Linked DNA regions of Drosophila melanogaster. The protein of the gene in region 1 interacts with the protein of each later gene in a pairwise test. Each region holds a gene or a part of one and is shown on either strand. Other genes may lie near its edges.

Evidence for each region. The genes of interacting proteins can lie anywhere in the genome.
Region 2: the proteins of dmrt99B (region 1) and CG17195 interact in a two-hybrid assay, tested with the Drosophila melanogaster proteins (one large-scale study listed by BioGRID).

What each region holds. Positions count from the first base shown.
Region 1 is NT_033777.3:29,690,628-29,697,533, reverse strand, and holds dmrt99B (doublesex-Mab related 99B), read right to left. Parts: upstream 4,944-6,906; 5' UTR 4,728-4,943; coding exon 4,581-4,727; intron 4,497-4,580; coding exon 4,395-4,496; intron 4,109-4,394; coding exon 3,697-4,108; intron 1,982-3,696; coding exon 1,110-1,981; 3' UTR 509-1,109; downstream 1-508.
Region 2 is NT_033777.3:25,775,755-25,778,937, reverse strand, and holds CG17195 (uncharacterized protein), read left to right. Parts: upstream 1-1,739; 5' UTR 1,740-1,756; coding exon 1,757-2,608; 3' UTR 2,609-2,662; downstream 2,663-3,183. Other genes in the region: CG4956 (uncharacterized protein), read left to right, coding at 709-1,617; CG17196 (uncharacterized protein), read left to right, coding at 2,732-3,183.

The DNA of each region.
Region 1 (6,906 bases):
GCCCTCAAAATAGTGGCAAATAGATAATGATGATACGGATTAACGCTTCGCATTATTATTTGGCCATCGCGTGATGACCAGTTGGGAATTTTGAATTTCGAATCGTGGGTGGCCTCTATAATCGCAGTAGTTTCCTATTTGTATTTCAATTTCTTTGGGGTGCTTGTGGGCGGCCCATTGTTATCCGGTCGACTTCTCACGAATATACATTACGTGCTGTGAAAATTGTTTATTTACCCAGCTATGACCCGGACTAAGGGATTTCCGAACAATGGAAGTTTTGTATTAAATATCCTTATTTATTGATCTGATTAGTCAGGCATTTAGCGTAGGCCCAAACGATTTAATTGGAATGCATTATGCATTCATCAAAATAATTACACTATAATTGGGCTATTCAGCACATTCATCAGTACATTTGCAGACTGAAGATGTATCTTATCTATCTATCTATGCATGTAGGAAAAAAAAACACCAATATTCCCCGACAAAAAAATAGCATCGAATTAATTTCTTCATTATTTTATTGAATTATTTGTAGATTTATTAAATACTTTAACACAGTGTTTGAAATGTACTTTATCTAAGACATAATATGATGTTTAATATAATTATATATATGCTCATATTCATATGGTACACACGGATATCTCAATTAGTTGGTTGCAATCAACAATCGCTTACACAATAATCTCATCATCGTCATAATGTTAATTTCAGCTAAACAAATACTTCTTATAACTGGGATCGAGTGTATGGTTTTTCTTAAGTTTTAATTCATTAAACGTATTATTTACTTATACGGTCTCTATGTTACAATACTTGTGCTAAGAGTCGAGGGCAAATGTAATTTACACTTAGTTGCGGGACGTGCACTGCGAGAAACAGTTGCTCAAAAATCAAGAAAGTTCTTTCTGCAATGAAAAACTTCTATGGTTTCAGCTGACTGAAAATATTATAAAAACAAACGAGAGCTCTAAAACTCATTGAAGTTAAGAATTGTGTTCTTGACTCGTAAAGTGTTCACATTTTTCCGCAGTGTAGCAGGGGTGGGAACCTTATTCGAAAGGCCTGAAGACGGATGCGCCGCTGGCCTCCACCTCGATGCCTCAATCCTGGGAGTCGCCAGCATTGCTGGTGCGATCCAACCCTATGCCGCCCGCTCCGTTGGACTCGGATTGCTCGATATCCGCCGCACTGAGCACTCCCGGAAGGTAGCCGGTTCCGGCGTAGGGAGCAGTCAGGAATCGCTTGGCGTGCGCCTGCATGAAGGGATGGTAGCGATGGGTGGGGGAGCCGAAAACCGAGGGCGGCACCAGCGGGGAGAAGGCGGACTTCATGGGAAAGGGCGGCGATGGCGGCACCTGCGGCGGAGTCTGTCCCAAATCCTCGCCAGCCAGCATGCACTCCATGGCCTGGAGCACGTCGCCACGGAACCGCTGCATCAGCTGCTCCACATCGCTGCGCCGTCGGTTGGGGAACACCCTCATCAGGACGTCGATGGGCGATCTCTGCTGCTGTTGCTGCTGCTGCTGCTGTTGCTGGTGGTGCTGTGGCAGGTGGTTCTGCTGCTGCTGCTGCTGCTGTTGCTGCTGCTGGTGGTGCGGCGAGTGTGCCGCTGGGTGGTGGTGGGCGGGCAGGCCGGCGGCGGCCAGGAACTGCGTGTGGTGATATGGCAGGAAGCCCTGGGCATGACTGCTGCTGAAGGATCGCAGCAGATGAAGATTCTCGGCGGGCGTGTTGGGCGGCGACTGGCTGTCCTCCTTCTTGAGACTGAGATTCTCCGGCGTGGCCTCATCCGGCGCCGAATCCACGTCCAGATCCGATTCCGGCGAGCTGGGCGGTCCAGTGCGGGCGGGCGACAAGCTGGCGGTCAGATTGAACAGTCCGGCGACCTTGGGCCGGGGACTACTCGGCGATCCGGACTCGGAGCCCGTGTCCTGGTCGGTCTCGTTCGACAGGGCTGCTCCGCGCTTGGACACTGCAAGCAAGGAATACAATGAAGGTATATACAGATTAGTCGCCAGTTGATATGTAAATGCATTAAGAGTAGTATCTTGTAATAGTTCTCCTACGAGAGTGTGTACTTCCTATTGAGCAATTGTTTTTCCCAAAATCGCAGGTATCGATTTCCATCGACGAAGCGATTCAGGTAGCCAGTGGAAAACCGCACAGTTTCCACTTGGCAGCTTAGAGCAAATAAAAGTATCAAGTGTAGAGATGGGAAGGAATTTAATCAGGGGCATCGCAAACAAAGGCGGTGGAAGGAGCAGGGAGTTCAGGATGCGATGTTGACATGCCAACGAGGGACAACCTGCTGTTTTTTTCCACAAATGAAACAAGCTATATGATATTTTTGTGCGAGTCTGTTTAATTTTGCAGTTGACGAAGCCGCAGTAAAAATTTAATTAAGTCGAGGGTGCGTGGATACCAATACCCAACTCGAATGCCGCACTCTTTAGTCGAAAATAAAAATTCAAGCGTGAAATCGTCTTGGATTTCATGGCAAATAATAGAGTCCGGTACTTAAATAGACAGGTTTTCCCGATTGATTCGCGTGAGAATCCTGCTGTGTTTTTCTTTCTCGAGCTGGAAAAAACCACTTCCTCCGAAAGGGCAAACAAATAAAGACAAGTGAGCTGAGTCAGGGGGGGTATCTCACGTTTCTGGCCTGCCAGAACCCTTGGCATGGGGTTACCTTATGGGTAATAACCCCCATCTGCACAGCCGATAGTCCTAATAAGCAGGCGGGGTCGAAGGTCCTTTCAAATTCTCGACAGACTTGCAACTGTTTGGCGTTTAATGGGCCAGTGGTTTGAGTTGCGATGGCAGGGCAATCTGAGATGATCTGGTTGGAATTGATTGGCTTATTTCGGATAATAACAAATAATGTTGGATAATGTTACAATAACTTTTATTGTTCAGCTATTGAGAGGGTTTTTTTGTGGGAAAAAGAGTAAAATTCTAGCACACAAGTGTTTTGAGACGACCAGCATTTCAGAGTTTGCCATTTGATATTATATGATGTAATGGAACATTTTTGTCGGAAATTTCAAGTTATTTGCCTTTAAAACCTTCCCTGAAATGAGCACCACGTTAAATCAAGTGTTTTCCTCCTAACGAGGACTTTAACTCGATTGTTGCAATTTGCGCCCCTTGATGTCCTGGCCTGGCTGCAACCCCAGGACCTTTTCACGCGCCGCTTGGCAAAGTGCACGACTGCAGCTTGGCTGGCTAAGTCTTTGTCAAAACAACACCTATGCCCCGCTCACTAGCACCACTTCGCCACTTGCATACACGCAGCCAAATGCACATGCAACCGCGAGTGTGGCACTTTATGCACCGCTGATTTCTGAACAATCGAAAACAAATTTTTCTTAACGCGCTTTTAACCTGCCCTCCCCCAAGACTCTCAAGACCTCTTCTTGAGATGGCCAGGCGTGAATGGCTTCTTAAGCGGCTGCACTGCGCAAAATAAGTCAGTGTGTCCTTCGAAATGGAGTGTAATGGAAGTAATGCTATTTCATAAGCAGTAAACATTTGAAGAACTTCAAGGAAAACTGTTTTCTTGGTTTTAGAATAGATCTCAATTTATAAGATATGTGCTGTGATATTTGATGTTACTTCATTTCCCAAGTCACACAGTCACATATTCTCCCGGTGTTAGCTGTGTGCAGTATTCTTTACTTCACTCACCAGGACTCTCATCCAGCTCGGTTCTGGTGGGCGAGAAACCGACGCTGAGGTGCTCGGAACGGGTGCGTCCATCCGTGTCGGATTCATTGCCATTGAACCGCTGGGACTGCTGGTGTGGGTGGCTAAGGTGCTGTTGGTGGTGCGCCTGCTGCTGCTGCTGCGACTGCTGGTGATGATTGGGAGTGGAGCTGGCCTCGAAGCCGTCGCTGGGTGGCGAGGGAATCCCGCCGTGGAAGACGCCGTTCTGGCCCGATCCTCCGCTGCCCGAGCCGCCGCTGCCGCTGTGGTTGGGGCTGTGCGGAGTGGGCGTAGCACTGTCGCTGCCATTCTGCTGGCCAGGAACCGAAGTGTAGAGCAGGCCCAGCTCGCGGGCCTCGTTCTCTTCTTGGGCCTGTTGGCGTCGAAGGGCCACCTGCAACAAGGAGGGCATGGGCGGAAAGCGGATCTTTGATCAGTGGCGTGTAACAGGGAGATGCATTAATATTACTATGATTTTTAACTGAAGTCAACAGAGGAGTTTTGCAATTTTGAAGTAGTACTTGATTTCCATGCTATACTATAAAAAAAAACCTGCTTTTAAGCATACATAGGTTCTCTTTAACTGAACTATATAGATGAATTCAGCAATCTTCTTCATTCTATAACATTTATTCCAATTCTTTCCACGTAATTCCTTCTATATTAAAGTAGAAACCCACCTGAGCAGCCATAACCCTTTGGCGTTCCGCGATTAGAGTGCATTTGGCGCAGACGCAATCCCGCCAGCGGCAGTAGCGTTTGTGTCCCTTCAAGGCGCTGACCTGCAAAAGGTTCGAAATGGAAAGGGGATCCAGTGGGTAAAGAAAATCTCCAGATGCCGGATGGTATATGACCGAGGGACCTACCACTCCGTGGTTCCTGCAGCGGGCGCACTTGGGCGTCCTTTGGTAGCGTTCCGAGGCGGCTCGCAAGAAGAAAGCAGGTGGCAGTGCTCCCAAGACCGGATGCTGGGACATCAGATTCTGCATGTCCACACCCGACGGTAGACTCATTTCGACGTGAAGATCAGAAACCTCGATGTGGATTTAGTTGTTAGGTCAAAAACTTCTGAGCACACACTTCACTTTAGCTTATTTGATTAGTATTTAATTGTTTGTTGTTAGCTTGTAGTTTGATTGTTTTATTGTTTAACTATTTATATCCGCATAGTTCTCGAATTCAATCCACGCGCGCTAACGACATGACACAGTGAGCCCTCGATTGCAACTGATTCAACTTTTGGCCAAAAGGCCGCAGCGCACGACGCTCGACGTCGGACGTTCAGCAATGGCGGCAAGCGGCAACATTTACCAATACAAAAGCGGCTGACGAGGGTTGAAAGTGCGCGGATACGCTCGTGGGCATGTACATGCAAACTGGATATAGGGGATATATCCCCGATTCCGAGAGTGTTGCAACCACCTTTGTGCGCCGCAGCTGCCTGCGTCGGCGTCGCTGCCTGCGCCAACGGCGACGCCGGCTGCGACGGCGGAGGGTTGGCAATTAAGAAAAAAGTTTCAAATCTAATTTGGTACTGTATACAAAATTGTGCACTCGAGGCGGCGACGCGGCGTATGAGTAATGTGGCGGGAGAGCACTCCGCACTGGTTGGTTCTCAAAGGGAATTGCCATGGTAGTGGTGGTGGTGGTGGTGGTGGTGGTGCTTCGGTGGTGTGGTGCTGTTCTGGTGGTTGTTTGGGGTTTCTTTCATTTTCTTTGTTGCCTTTGTTTCACAATTATTTTTTATGCCGCTCTTCAGCTGCTCAACTGCTCAGCGGCTTGCTGTGTGCGTGAGCGCTTGGGGCTCTCGGCTTTTGGGCTAATGGAATAGCCAACCAAAAGCGTTGTTGTTGCGACCTCGCCGCTGGTTGGCATGGCCAACACACACACACACACATACAAACACACTCAACTGACACAGTTGGCAGCGCAGTTGTTGCTTTTCGAGGGGTTTTGGGGGGATATCTAAAATTCCCAGGCCCCTGTTTTTGAAAAACTAAAGTTTCTACCTTAGGTTGTGGCACATCGCCACTTGCTTTTCATTTCCAGCTGCCGCTGTTCAAATGTCTCAAGTGTTGAAATCTCCATGAACAAAATTGACAAACAGAGGCATAATAATTACTTATTTACAGCTGCATAAAAGTATAGACATGAGATGATATGTTAAACAAGAAACAAACCATAAAGATAGGTATTTAACAGAAAATCATAACGTATATTAACTTTTATAGCGTTTAAAAGGATATACAATGTGATATCAATTTGCTACTTTAATCTATTTAAAAGAACAAAACCCATTTTACATAAAGAGTCCTTTACATAATGTGCCGCATATCCCGCTGCGTCGGAATGAGAGTTTTCGTTAGGTAATTTTTAACTTTTTTTTGGCCAGTGGGTTGGGTCTATTGGCCTATTGGAATGTTACAAAATAATTGCAATTGAAACAAACTGAGCACTCGTGCTGAGCGAGCGAGACAGCCGCGTCTGCGAAAGAGGCAGCTGCGCGCGCCTCTCTCTCTCTCTCTCTGACGTTCTTCGTTTCTCCGAGAGATGTTCGCTCTCTCGCGCGGAGACTCCGCCCACGAAAAGAGGAGGAGCCATAGGACTCACGCACACGCTGTAGAAATAGAAGAACATAAAGCGGCAACAATGTTGTACAAGTTGACCAAAAGAAACAAGTTTCCAGTCTGTCTGTGTCGGTGTTTGCGCGCGTGTGCTTGTGTGCGAGTTGCCTAAGGACCTCTACACACACACACACGCACACACACACTGGGAAATAGGGGGCAGTTCCAGTTCCGCTGGCATCGTCTTTTTGGGCAGGTCACAGTTGTTGGCAACAGTAAATGGCCAGAAGCTGCTGCTGCTGCTGTTACCGTGGAGCTACTGGTGTTTTGCGCAGGGCCAATTTCTCGCATTTTAACTTTGTTTAAAGTGCGCCTATGTACACACACTCACATCTACACACAAACACACGCAGGCTGCTGCCCTGGGTGGCCACTTATAAAGTGTTTTTACTGCGACCAAATATGCAAATTAGTTGAGCAGCGCTGGCGATGACAACTTACTTAGTTGTTGTTGCTGCAGAGAGAGAAAATAGTCATGGGTATTAAAAAAAGGTGTAGAGATTTATTTCACGTTGAGATGGTAAGAATGTGATAGAAAATATTATGAAAAATATCTCCTTGGGAAAAT
Region 2 (3,183 bases), 3.9 Mb from region 1:
ACCAGCTTTCCCACCCGACCAGGCCACATTCAAAATGCTTAGTTCATATTAATAATTCATAAAAATTTATGCGAAATAGACAACATTCGTTCCTGCGGTCTAAACCTGGCCGACAGCTGCCATTTTGCGGTCGCTGGGCTGATGAAGTCGACTTAACCCAGCTGTTTCCTACATGTATTTGATATGCATTCCTCGTTGTTTTTATTCTGCTCTTTGTTTATACAACATACAGCTGCTGCAAAATACCATATTTTGCCATGCTGATGCCCTTTTTCCCTCCATTGTTTTTTTTATTTCAATTTATTTTCTGCTTATAAGCTTGCTTTATAAGCAAGGTTTTGCCTATACTGCTTTGAAAATGAAGTAAAAATTTGAGAAACTTTTAGGTGAAAACATTCCATAAGCCAAATCTTTTGAATTGTAGAATTCACTTAGAAGCGCCACTTAAATAAAAATTTTCTGCCTTCACAAATGACGCCAGCAATTATAAAACGTAATTTCGCAATAATCCGCTTAAAAAGGAAAAGAAATTGAATTTGAAACCACCCACCAAAGTACACATACATACAATGCCAGATTTTTACAATTCAGTGGGTGATGCGATTATGTCAGTTAGATACATATTTCCAAATCAAGGCAGTTCTGGTGCCCAAAGTCTATTAAAAATAATTTATTTGATAAATTTAACAATACGTCTGTCATTTATAAATGCTTCGATTTCGAGTTTTATTAAGATCTACTTGCGGTTGGAGTAGAAGAATGTGTTTTCGAGCCGAGGAAGGGTTTCATCGTCACTTTCAACTACATCGCATAAAAGTTATGGGCCTACTTCATCCGTTTTGTGCAATATTTTTACTCTGTCTGATTGGATTGCTGTTTGTCTATGAATTATGCTACGTTTTGCCGCAAATAACTGATCCCCATGGTATATGGCACAAATTGTGTTGGTTTATGGGAATTTATACAGTCATCAATATATTGGGCAACTGGTGGCTCGGCTGTATGACCAATACCTCAGTCGATAGCTTAGTTCTGGAAAGACAGTATCCTGTGGCAGGTGAGGCTCACCTGTGGCACTACTGCTCCACATGCCAAAAGCTGGTGCCACCGAGGTCCTGGCACTGTAGTTTGTGCAACATTTGCATTCTGAAGCGGGATCACCACTGCACCTTCTTTGCCAGTTGCATTGGCCATAAAAATCAGAGGTATTTCCTTGCCTTCTTGTTTCACCTGAGCTTTGGCAGCGGACAGGCGCTCGTCTACAATGGCATTTTGAATTGGACAAACAAGGCCTTTTTGGTCGTCGATCCTTTGTTGCTAATGTTCCAGGATACAACCCAAGATGCTGATTTCAAATGGAAGTACACAATCGCCAACCTTTTCAAACTGAATTTATTTCTTTTTGGCGTCCCCCTCTTCATGTTCGTCTTTCAAATGATAATGGTATATCGGAATAGTACATGCTATAAGATGCTCGATCGCAGCTATGATGTTGGTTGGAGAAGAAATTTTGATATGGTCTTGGGAAAACGGCGCTTCTGGATTTTTTTCTCTCCAACGATCTCAAGTCCTCTTCCTACCGATGGCACTCAGTGGTTCCAGAAGCAGACAGTGTAAATTTTGTTTGTAAAAACTTTGAATATAAGATAGCGAATAAATTCTATTATAATATGTCGGGTTGGCGTTTCTTCTTCTGTGATGTAAATGTTTCTATTTAGTCTATAATTTACAACAGAAGTTTTCAAAATCCTAAAAAATGTGCTACGTGAATAGATTTTGCCATTACTTTGCCAATCGCTACCCGAAGAACTTTGTGAGGATAGTGCATCCACTTTCGATAGTTTTCGTCCTGTGCAGCACAGCTTTCTTCTTCTCACTGCAGATGTTTTACATTGCGCCCAAAGTGTTTGGCGACATTGCTTACAAGCTCTACTGGATATTGGTCACCTTCATAACGCACAACATACTTGGTAACATGCTGGCCTGCTATATGACTAGCTCATCGGTAAACACCTTGTCCAAGGACTCCCGATGCCCGAATCCAGAGGATGAGCCCCTGTGGCACTATTGCGAATCGTGTAAAAAGCTGAGATCGCCACGATCCTGGCACTGCGTTTTGTGCAACACCTGCATTTTGAGACGGGACCACCACTGTATATTCACGGGCACTTGCATTGGACACAATAATCAACGCTTTTTCTTCTGGTTCACATTTTATTTAACGCTCGGCTTAGTCACAAGCTTTGCAACATTTTGTATGTTTATCCTGCAGAATGGCGGTAACTTCATGAGTCTCTCGTCTGTGATTTTTAATTTAATAACTAGGACTTTTTTCCAAAATTATACTGGCAATACTTTTGAGACCATTGCCTTCCTCTTGAATATAAGCGCCAGCTATATGCCTGCCTTTATGTTGGCATATCAAATGCAGATTTTAAGCCAAAACTCTACCTACTATAATATTTTTGATTGCACCTACGATCTGGGTTTCCGAAAGAACTGCCAGACAATAATGGGCCAACGAGGACTTTGGACTTTTATATCGCCCTTGCTGAAGAGTCCTTTGCCCCATGACGGTGCACATTGGCAGATGAAGCAGTCTCACTAAATTAATAGACGTATTACTAAATTATTGAAAAATATATATCGATTTTAACAAGCCAATCATAACTTATTTTCATCTAATGTCAAGTTGTGGAAAATACGGTGTTGTATTCAAAATCCTACAATCATGTGTATCGTAAATGATTGGTGCCGCGAATATGCCAATCTCTATCCTAAGAAGGCCGTGAGCATAGGACATCCTTTGTCAGTGATTTTTTTACTGGTGAGCACGGTTTTTTTCTTCACGCTGCAGGTCTTTTATGTGGCCCCCGATGTGCATGATGGTTTTATGTATAAGTTCTTTGTGATATCAGCGATTTTTACAACATACAATATCCTGGGAAACTTGCTGGCCTGCTACCGTACAAGCTCAGCAGTGAAAAGTCTGCCTCAGGAGCGGCAAATTCCGAAACCGGGAACGGAGCACCTGTGGCATTATTGCGATATCTGTCAGAAACTGATGCCTCCACGATCCTGGCACTGTGCACTGTGTAAATGCTGCATTTTGAAGCGAGACCACCACTGCATCTTCGCAGCCACTTGCATCGGACACAATAATCACCGATATTTCTTCTGGCT